Xenopus tropicalis: one gene and its partner. The protein of the gene in region 2 interacts with the protein of the main gene of each other region in a pairwise test. Links are inferred from orthologs where the notes say so. Each region holds a gene or a part of one and is shown on either strand. Other genes may lie near its edges.

Region 1 (4,994 bases), on a different chromosome or scaffold from region 2:
CTACACCCACTGATCCGTGTAATCGATTCTACAACACAGGCATGCAAACTCTGCTTCACTGGCTGATGCCAGACTACAGCTCCCAGCATCCCCTGTTGATGAGTAATTATCTCTCCATTGTAATTTGCCATTTAAAAGGGAGAATTTGTTTCCTGTTCCTTCAACATGGCAGTGGGCAAGGCTATGTGGAAGGAACAGGAAACCAAAATCTTGGTAAGCCATGTGACCTGTGCTCTGATAAACTTCAGTCACACTTTACTGTTGCGCTGCAAGTTGGAGTGATATCCCCCCCCTCACCCCCAGCAGCCAATCAGCAGAACAATGGGAAGGGAGCAAGATAGCAGCTCCCAGTAGGTATCAGAATAGCACTCAATAGTAAGAAACCCAAGTCCGGCTTGGGACTCCTCCAGTTACATGGGAGTAGGAGAAACAAAAGGTTAGCTGAAAGCAGTTCTAATGTGTAGCGCTGGCTGAAAGCTCAGACTCAGGCACACTTTACTGCTGCGCTGCAAGTTGGAGTGATATCCCCCCCCCTCCCCCCCACAACCAATCAGCAGAACAATGGGAAGGGAGCAAGATAGCAGCTCCCAGTAGGTATCAGAATAGCACTCAATAGTAAGAAATCCAAGTCCGGCTTGGGACTCCTCCAGTTACATGGGAGTAGGAGAAACAATAGGTTAGCTGAAAGCAGTTCTAATGTGTAGCGCTGGCTGAAAGCTCAGACTCAGGCACACTTTACTGCTGCGCTGCAAGTTGGAGTGATATCCTGCCCCCCCTCCCAGCAGCCGATCAGCAGAACAATGGGAAGGGAGCAAGATAGCAGCTCCCAGTAGGTATCAGAATAGCACTCAATAGTAAGAAATCCAAGTCCGGCTTGGGACTCCTCCAGTTACATGGGAGTAGGAGAAACAATAGGTTAGCTGAAAGCAGTTCTAATGTGTAGCGCTGGCTGAAAGCTCAGACTCAGGCACAATGCACTGAGATGGCGCCTACACACCAATATTACAGCTACAAATACATTTGTTGGTTCAAGAATACAATGTTAAATGGCAGAGGGAATTATTTGCTTATGTAAACAGTGTCATTTAGAAATAAAAAGTACTCTGAACAATCAGAATATCCAAGGCTATTGTGATACTAATATCTACAGTTAGTATTACTGGTTGTATATATATAGTTTATGTATGTGAGTGTATAGATTGGTTAGTATAGGTTGTGTGCTGGGTTTACTCGGATGGGTTGAACTTGATGGACAATGGTCTTTTTTCAACCCTATGTAACTATGTAACTATGTAACTATGTAACTATCATGACAGTATCCCTTTAAAAAATGATTGTTTACAGAAGCGTGAGTGTGCCCTGGCCCAGAACACCTGGGTGAGTGTGTAAATCTCACAGCACTTCCGCTGGGAGTCAGACACTCCCCCTACTACACCTGTTAGACTGGGAGGATCAGGAGGGAGGGGAGACTGGGTAGAAAATCCTGCTGTAGCTGAAGGGAGGGATTTTGTTCCCTTCCCAAGAGCGGCTGTGTGTTTCCTGGCAGTGCCCGGCAGAGAGGGGGGAACCTGCCAACATGAGTGTCTCTGGGAAACAGCTGAGCAGCAGTCCGCAGGGTGTAAGTATCCATCTCGGCGGTGTCTGTTTTCTCTCATATATGTTGCTGGAAGGGGGTGAGTTGCATTGACAGTCTAACGTGTGCCCAGGGCTTATACCAGATCAATACAATTCCTATTAAAAACACACACAGGCAGGGGGGGAGGCATAAGATTGTGCCCCATTAATTAGCTGATCTACCAGTCACCACTTCACTGGATATACTGTGCTGGGTTAATTGGCAATTCATTTAGAAGCATGCCGCAGACTGCAAAGATTTCTGTGCAGCCAGTTGCATTTATATTATTATGTGATTTTTTTTTTTAATAAATCAGCATCTATACCCAGTCTCAATGAGACTTTCTGTCCGTGCCAGATACTAATTTTAAATTCCAGTCCGTCGTTATAGGCAAGTGACGTCATGGGGAAGACAGATATATTTTCCTTATTGCCTGGCTTGCCACACTCCTTTCATTCCAACCCACACTGCCTTCCTCTGTGGCTGCAAACAGGTTTAAAATCATTTTAAAGGGCTAATTTACCTTTAAATTAACTTTTTAGTATGATGTAGACAGGGATACTCTGCAGTTGGTCTTCAGTTTTTTATGGTTATGAATGATTTAGCTATTTCTTTAGCAGCTTTCCAGCACTGAATTTTAAGTGGCTGTCTAGTTGTTAGGGGCCAATTTAACCTAGCAACCAGCCAGTGGTTTGAATCAGAGAGTGGAAGATGAACAGGAGAGGACCTAAATAAAAAAAGAAGTAATGAAAAAAACAATAAAGTTGTAGCCGTTAACATTTAGGGGTTTTTTTTGGCTGTCAAGGTTGGTGACCCCCTATTTGAAAGCTGGGAGGTATAGGGAAACTATACTCTGACTGCATCTTTCAGCTATGGAGAAGAACCCAACCGTGGCCTAAATGGCCCTTCTCCCCTGGCTGAAAACCTTCATGTTCCACGTACCATAGGCCCTAGGTTGCATTAACGGCAAATACTGCACCTATAGGGATTTATATCTCTATGAATGGCAACTATGACTGCTGTGGAAGGGTAACCTCAACCAAAGACTCCAACAAAAGAAACCAGTGCCCAACTGGGGTGCTACGGGCTCAACAAAAACCTTAGACCAAAGACCTCTCCTATCTTTCCTCTTTTCTTCTTTGCCTTCTCTGATCTACTAGTCTCTTAATACACCATGATCTATACTTCTCTCCATTCCTACTCTTTGGTCTCATATAGAAATATTATGGTATGGTCATTAAAGGCCAAATGGTTGGGTCCAAATTAATGGCTGGGAGCCACAGGGCCCATTAACTCATGGGCCCCCCTGGGATTGTTCCTGGTATCCCAGGGGGCCAGTGTGGCACTGGGTGAAGCAGTTGGATGGCAGAAGTGAGTGATTTACTAGCATGTTGTTCCCCGGAAAGAGAAACCCTGGGTTGACCAATTGCTAGATATCACCCAGTGTGCCATCACCCTTTCAAGCTGGCCATTCCTGGGCAACTTTAAAGGCATTGTTGACCTTTAAATTAACTTTTAGTAGGATAAAGAGAATGCAAATGCTATGCAATTGGTCTACATTTTGTATTTGCGGTTTGTGTATTATTTAGCTTTTTGAAAATAAGACAGGAAAATGAATAGAGGAGGGCCTAAAGAGAAAGATAAGTAATACAAATTAACAATAAAAATAAAAATTGTAGCCTCACAGGGCAATGGTTTATGGCTGCCGGGGTCAGTGACCCCCATTTAAAAGCTGGAAATAGTCAGAAGAAGAAAACAAATAATTCAAAAATAATACAAAATGAAAGAAAGAAAATGAAGGCCAATTGAAAAGTTGCTAAGAATAGGCCATTCTATAACATAGTAAAAGATAACCTGAATGGGAACCACTCCTATAAGCTGCCGATTCGGGTCCTTCAGACGGATTCAGTAGCTTATCTGCTTGTGTATTAGGCCCTCTGATATTCTCCCTTTACAAAAATTGGGCCAAATCTCATTCGGACAGGCTTGATTTTCCCATCGGATCAAGAACTGCATTGGCTCATTGATCTGGTCCTTGCTCCAATGGCTTGTATCCCCTTCATTGTAATGCAATTGTTTGGCCAAAGGGCAAAGATGTTACAGTGTATGGCCACCTTAAGGGTGAAGACACACAATCACCTTGAATTGTAAAAAGTATAAGTCCCTGCGACTAATCCCCCGTGCAGTTTCGCTACGCAGATTAGTTGCTGCGACTTTTTAAAAAGTTGCGGAGACTAAATGCTGCGTGTCTCTTCGCCCTTAGGCACGCCTTTCAGCAGGTAGGCCAGGTGTCTCTCTTATCTTCTGGAACATTCTTTGCTTCTGTGCTGGGGCCATAAAGATAACATTAAGGCACTGGAGCTTTCCATGTGAAAGTTTAGGGTGGGGTGCAATTAGTACGGAACTGGCAGTTGTTGCATCTCTTTGCGCTGCAGAGTAATGGTGGTTTAAATGAGGCGCTTAGCTATTCATACTCAGTTGACTGTGCAAAGGGTAAATATTCCCACTGGAGAGAATTTTTTCCGACATCAGAATTCTGCATAATTTCAAAACCAAGAAAGGTTATTTGCTGAGCGTCCACATGTTCTCGGGAGGCCTAGGAAAACCAGTCCCTGCAGGATGTGACAATTGCTTACAGCCGGGTCCGTCTGGCCTGCAGGGATATGGTTGGTTTCGGGCCTTTGTAACGGTGCCAGGCAGATGGAGCTCATGCGTGCCGGCAGCACTGGGCTCTCTACTTGTTCTCTCAGAGCAAATATATTATCAGCAAATACGGCTTCCAAGGGATCTGCTCTGTGCAGGGAAGGGATGATCCAGGATACAGCTGTACACACGCGAGGGCAATTACTTGGAAGGGAAATGGGATCCCCCCAACCTTTGTGTTAGTTACTAACAGCCTGAGGAACTGCATAGTGCGTAGGGATACCAGCTCACCCCACACAACTAACACGCATGCTTCATGGCTAATTAGAAATGATAGACTGCAGTCTTAGCCATGCAGGATGCAGTTTAATATGCAACCAGTTTTAGGATAAGCTGTAACGTACATGTAAGGTTCCCTATATCCACTCCATCTGGCTGCTTCCTACATCTACAGTCTGTGGCCCTGGCTAGGACTCTAATTAAGCATGAACTTTCTGCTCGGAACGAAATACTCCCTACTACATACTTTTATGTGAACTAATGCCACTCCAGCACTCATTATTCTGGGTATTAGTGTGGTGCGTATATTTCCTAGATACCTGGCAGGGAGTCTTAGTTCCATCTCTAAAACTCATAGACTAGTTTCTACTAGATCCTATCTGCAAAATGTTTTTTTTTTTTCCCACTGCTACTATAGGCATCATCTCTCCCTACTATACCTGCTATCCCACAGCCC
Region 2 (5,572 bases):
TTCTGTTAAAGGGGACAAAACCTCCCCAAACAAATTGTAACCCCCAATGTAACTGTTTGCTCATTAAAGTAAATTTAATTCTAGGCAACTTTCCCATATACATTCATTACAAACATTCATTTCTATTAAGGCTGTTTGTAAATGAAAGTGCTATTGAAAGCAGCTTCTCTCTGGTCTGCACTGCTGGTTCTGACTACATGTACCATTAAACAATGTATCACTAGGCGGCTCCCCTTCCGCCAATATTCTCTTTCCCACAATGCCTTGATTCTCCTTCTTTTCAGGTCTATTAAAGGTCTATCAACGTGAACATTTTGCAAAATTAAAGTAAATTTATTTCTGAACACCTTCCCAACATACAATTATGGCAATTCCAGAACACCAGGAGTTAATTTAAAGCCACACTGCTGGGTGTGTATCTGTAGCCTCTGCTGAATGGGCCATGTCAGTAATATGATATAAACTACTGTATATACTCGAGTATAAGCCTAGTTTTTCAGCACCCAAAATGCGCTGAAAAAGTCACCCTTGGCTTATACTCGAGTTGGGTCCCTCCAGACTAGCACCCTCTGTCCTTTGTGTGCAAATTAGGCCTCCTGCAACCAGACCCTGCAGTGCCTATTGTTTTTGTTGACCCTCTTCTCCACTTACAGAGCTTACATATATTTAAAAACATATACCCCACTGATGCCTCAATTAATGTAATTTTATTGGGATTTATTTTGATTATTGAAACTTAGCAGTAGCTGCTGCATTTCCCACCCTAGGCTTATACTCGAGTCAATATGTTTTCCCAGTTTTCTTAGGTAAAATTGGGTACCTCGGCTTATATTGGGATCGGCTTATACTCGAGTATATACGGTAGTTCCCTGCCTACACCACAATGAAATATCAAGCAATATAAAGGGAAGTATAATAAAAGGGAATTTAGTTGGGGCCCGGGGGCCCACAAACCATTACTCTGTGATTCCTAGTACAAAAGCGGAGATGACATTTTCCATAAACATTTACTTACCCTTCACCCAGTTTGTGCACAAAGAAGTAGCGCTTATTCTCTATGGTTATAGACCCCCGAGAGCAGATACACAGAGCGCCGCCCATTGTCCTTCCAACATGCTTTGGTCACTAGAAGAGAGACATTTGTATAAGCACATAAGAGGCATAGTGCATAGCGGCACAACATCCAGTGCAGTCTGCATCAGAATCTAATAATGTCATTACTGAGGCACAGGGGGTTCAGTATGTGTCAGTACCAGTTACACTGGGTCCAAAAAGGTCAATGGACTACAATTCCCGGCTTTAGTTATAGGTTGGAGAATTCTGGGAATTACAGTTCAGCAACACCTAAGAATAAAATTAAACATGGTTTGGGGGAACATAATCAATCTATTCAGTATAGGTCTATATCAGAGATCTTTGGTGGGTGGCTCAACCGCTGTCCCTCTCTGCTAAGGGGTTGCTGGGAATTGTAGTCCACAGAAAGCCCAGCCATATACTCCTAAGCTTAGAAGAGAAAGAAACACCCCGATGTTACCCCAGTATTACCTTACTGCCTCTATTGCCCCAGTATTACCTTACTGCCTCTATTGCCCCAGTATTACCTTACTGCCTCTATTGCCCCAGTATTACCTTACTGCCTCTATTGCCCCAGTATTACCTTACTGCCTCTATTGCCCCAGTATTACCTTACTGCCTCTATTGCCCCAGTATTACCTTACTGCCTCTATTGCCCCAGTATTACCTTACTGCCTCCATTGCCCCAGTATTACCTTACTGCCTCCATTGCCCCAGTATTACCTTACTGCCTCCATTGCCCCAGTATTACCTTACTGCCTCTATTGCCCCAGTATTACCTTACTGCCTCCATTGCCCCAGTATTACCTTACTGCCTCCATTGCCCCAGTATTACCTTACTGCCTCCATTGCCCCAGTATTACCTTTACTGCCTCCATTGCCCCAGTATTACCTTACTGCCCTCCATTGCCCCAGTATTACCTTACTGCCTCCATTGCCCCAGTATTACCTTACTGCCTCCATTGCCCCAGTATTACCTTACTGCCTCTATTGCCCCAGTATTACCTTACTGCCTCTATTGCCCCAGTATTACCTTACTGCCTCTATTGCCCCAGTATTACCTTACTGCCTCTATTGCCCCAGTATTACCTTACTGCCTCTATTGCCCCAGTATTACCTTACTGCCTCTATTGCCCCAGTATTACCTTACTGCCTCTATTGCCCCAGTATTACCTTACTGCCTCTATTGCCCCAGTATTACCTTACTGCCTCTATTGCCCCAGTATTACCTTACTGCCTCCATTGCCCCAGTATTACCTTACTGCCTCCATTGCCCCAGTATTACCTTACTGCCTCCATTGCCCCAGTATTACCTTACTGCCTCCATTGCCCCAGTATTACCTTACTGCCTCTATTGCCCCAGTATTACCTTACTGCCTCTATTGCCCCAGTATTACCTTACTGCCTCTATTGCCCAGTATTACCTTACTGCCTCTATTGCCCCAGTATTACCTTACTGCCTCTATTGCCCCAGTATTACCTTACTGCCTCCATTGCCCCAGTATTACCTTACTGCCTCCATTGCCCCAGTATTACCTTACTGCCTCCATTGCCCCAGTATTACCTTACTGCCTCTATTGCCCCAGTATTACCTTACTGCCTCTATTGCCCCAGTATTACCTTACTGCCTCTATTGCCCCAGTATTACCTTACTGCCTCTATTGCCCCAGTATTACCTTACTGCCTCTATTGCCCCAGTATTACCTTACTGCCTCCATTGCCCCAGTATTACCTTACTGCCTCCATTGCCCCAGTATTACCTTACTGCCTCCATTGCCCCAGTAGTACCTTACTGCCTCCATTGCCCCCAGTATTACCTTACTGCCTCCATTGCCCCAGTATTACCTTACTGCCTCTATTGCCCCAGTATTACCCTTACTGCCTCTATTGCCCCAGTATTACCTTACTGCCTCTATTGCCCCAGTATTACCTTACTGCCTCTATTGCCCCAGTATTACCTTACTGCCTCTATTGCCCCAGTATTACCTTACTGCCTCCATTGCCCCAGTATTACCTTACTGCCTCTATTGCCCCAGTATTACCTTACTGCCTCCATTGCCCCAGTATTACCTTACTGCCTCCATTGCCCCAGTATTACCTTACTGCCTCTATTGCCCAGTATTACCTTACTGCCTCTATTGCCCCAGTATTACCTTACTGCCTCTATTGCCCCAGTATTACCTTACTGCCTCTATTGCCCCAGTATTACCTTACTGCCTCTATTGCCCCAGTATTACCTTACTGCCTCTATTGCCCCAGTATTACCTTACTGCCTCTATTGCCCCAGTATTACCTTACTGCCTCTATTGCCCCCGTAGCGATGGCAGCTTTCAGCCTCCCACCGGAACTGTAACCAACCGGGCAGCTGGAAAGCAGGGCGGCACCGAGTGATGACGTTCAAGGAAGGCGACTCGGGCCTGAGCTGCGTTGCTAGGTTACGCAGGTACAGAATGGGAAAGGAGCCCAAACCTTTGTTCAAAACTCTGTTTTCAGTCTCTGACAGTCTGGAATCTGAAAGGTTAATCACTAGATCACTAGATCCCTAATCACTAGCGCAGTCTCTCCTATGGCTGGTAAATCTGGCGTCTCCAGTGCGTTGTAGAGGCTGCTCCTTCCTGAGTACGGTGTCCCAGCTGGCCAAACCTTCTAGAAATGCGAGTCTGCTGCCTTGGGGATTCCTTCTGCCGTGAATAAACGGTGCCAGTTGTATGATCTCGGGTATCACGGTCAAATTTCTTTCTGTTTCGGGCTATAAGTTCTTTTATCAAATTCTTTATGGAATTATTGGCTTCTTGCAAAGTTGTATCATACTCACTTGTGCTTATAGAACTGTTTTGAACACTCTCTTTAAGTTAAGTTATCTCTTTGCGAGTTTTATTGATTTCAGGCTGTAAATATTCCACAGTAAGGACCCTGGCATCCAAACTGGCTTTATTCCAGATGCCTTCCCATTTTGCTAAAAAGTCTTTATTATGCATACCTCCCAACTGTCCCGGACAGTCCGTCTTTTGACAACTCAACCCATAGTCCCAGATTCTTACTGAAAAGTCAATCATTGCACTGAATGCTAGAAAAGATACAATGTTTCTCAAACTTAATTAAAAACTAGCTTTTGGCAGAGAGCCTAGAAATCTTAGGGCTCAGGCACACGGGCAAAACTCCCTGTTCGCGGGCGACTAATCTCCCCGAGTTGCCTACCCCTGCCATCCCACCGGCGAACATGTAAGTCGTCGGCGGGATGGCCAGACGCGGCGGGGCGATTTCAGGAAATCGCCGAAAAAGACTTGCGAGTCTTTTTTGGCGATTTGCGCAAAATCGCGCCGCCGCGTCTGCCATCCCGCTGGCGATTTACATGTTCGCCGGTGGGATGGCAGGGGTAGGCAACTCGGGGAGATTAGTCGCCCGCAAAAAGGGAGTTTTGCCGCGGGCGACTAATCTCCCCGTGTGCCAGAGCCCTTAAAGAGCGTTACCTGAACTTAGATACATTGTTTCTCACATTTAATTAAATAAGTGGGCTTTTGGCAGAGAGTCCAGAAAGGTTAAAAGCCCCCCCCTGCACTGAGATACAATTGTAACTAATAAGCTAAACAGGTCTCTTGGGGGAACTGAGACTCGCAGCTTAAAGGAGAAGGAAAGGCAAAGTCACTTGGGGGTGCCAAAATGTTAGGCACCCCCAAGTGACTTTAAAGGGCAATTTCACCTTCTTCAGCAAAACTGTAATAACACATAAAACAGGAAACCAAAACCCCCAGAAATGTGTTCAAACTTTAAATAACCTGCCAAATTTAGTCAAATGGGAGTGGTATTTAGGGGGTGTGGTCACAAAAATGGGCGTGGCCAAAAATTGCCGCACTGTGCGCACTATTTATTTTTGACAGTCTTTCTGTTTTCAAAATTGGGAGGTATGCACTATAAGATTCGCTCATTTGTCGAAGATGCCAAAAGAGCAGATCTTTCCCCCCAATATGCCTTGGGTTGTGGTAATGCTAGGGTCGCCATCTTTGCCAGTGGCTAAACCCAAACAAAGGGTGCATGGGGCTGATGGCATCAGGGGTGGGGCTGAGGGTGGGCATGATGATGTTGGGTGAGTTTATGATGCTGGGGCGGGGTGTATTTCATTACTTAATGCAGTTGCCTGGATTTCTGTCCAGTTTTCTCAATGTTTTAAACCGGACAGAATGGGACAGTATGGGACCTATCAACCAGAAATCAGTTATTCAAAAGCTCTGAAATACGGCAATGCTAATTAAGATTTTTGATTGATTGGCTTTTTCTTTCTGAAATTATAAGAAATAAACAGTACTTGATTACTAAGCCATGTTGATAGAAAAAAATCACAGTGAGTATTTTAATATATAAATGTGTTTCATTTATTGGCCAGATTATTGTTCAGGTTTCAGCCAGTTGAGACCCAAAAAGGCCTAAAGGTCCCCATACACGGGCCGATTGTAGCTGCCAATATGGGTCCCTTAGACTGATTCGGCAGCTAATCGGCCCG

The links.
Region 1: the proteins of stk16 (region 2) and kctd14 interact in binary tests that used the Homo sapiens proteins (3 or more experiments, as listed by UniProt). The link is inferred for Xenopus tropicalis from reciprocal best matches to the Homo sapiens genes STK16 and KCTD14.

What each region holds. Positions count from the first base shown.
Region 1 is NC_030678.2:168,932,533-168,937,526, reverse strand, and holds the start of kctd14 (BTB/POZ domain-containing protein KCTD14), read left to right. Parts: upstream 1-1,410; 5' UTR 1,411-1,576; coding exon 1,577-1,618; intron 1,619-4,994.
Region 2 is NC_030685.2:83,927,733-83,933,304, forward strand, and holds the start of stk16 (serine/threonine-protein kinase 16), read right to left. Parts: upstream 3,440-5,572; 5' UTR 3,368-3,439; intron 1,126-3,367; 5' UTR 1,102-1,125; coding exon 1,016-1,101; intron 1-1,015. UniProt on the Homo sapiens protein: Membrane-associated protein kinase that phosphorylates on serine and threonine residues. In vitro substrates include DRG1, ENO1 and EIF4EBP1. Also autophosphorylates. May be involved in secretory vesicle trafficking or intracellular signaling.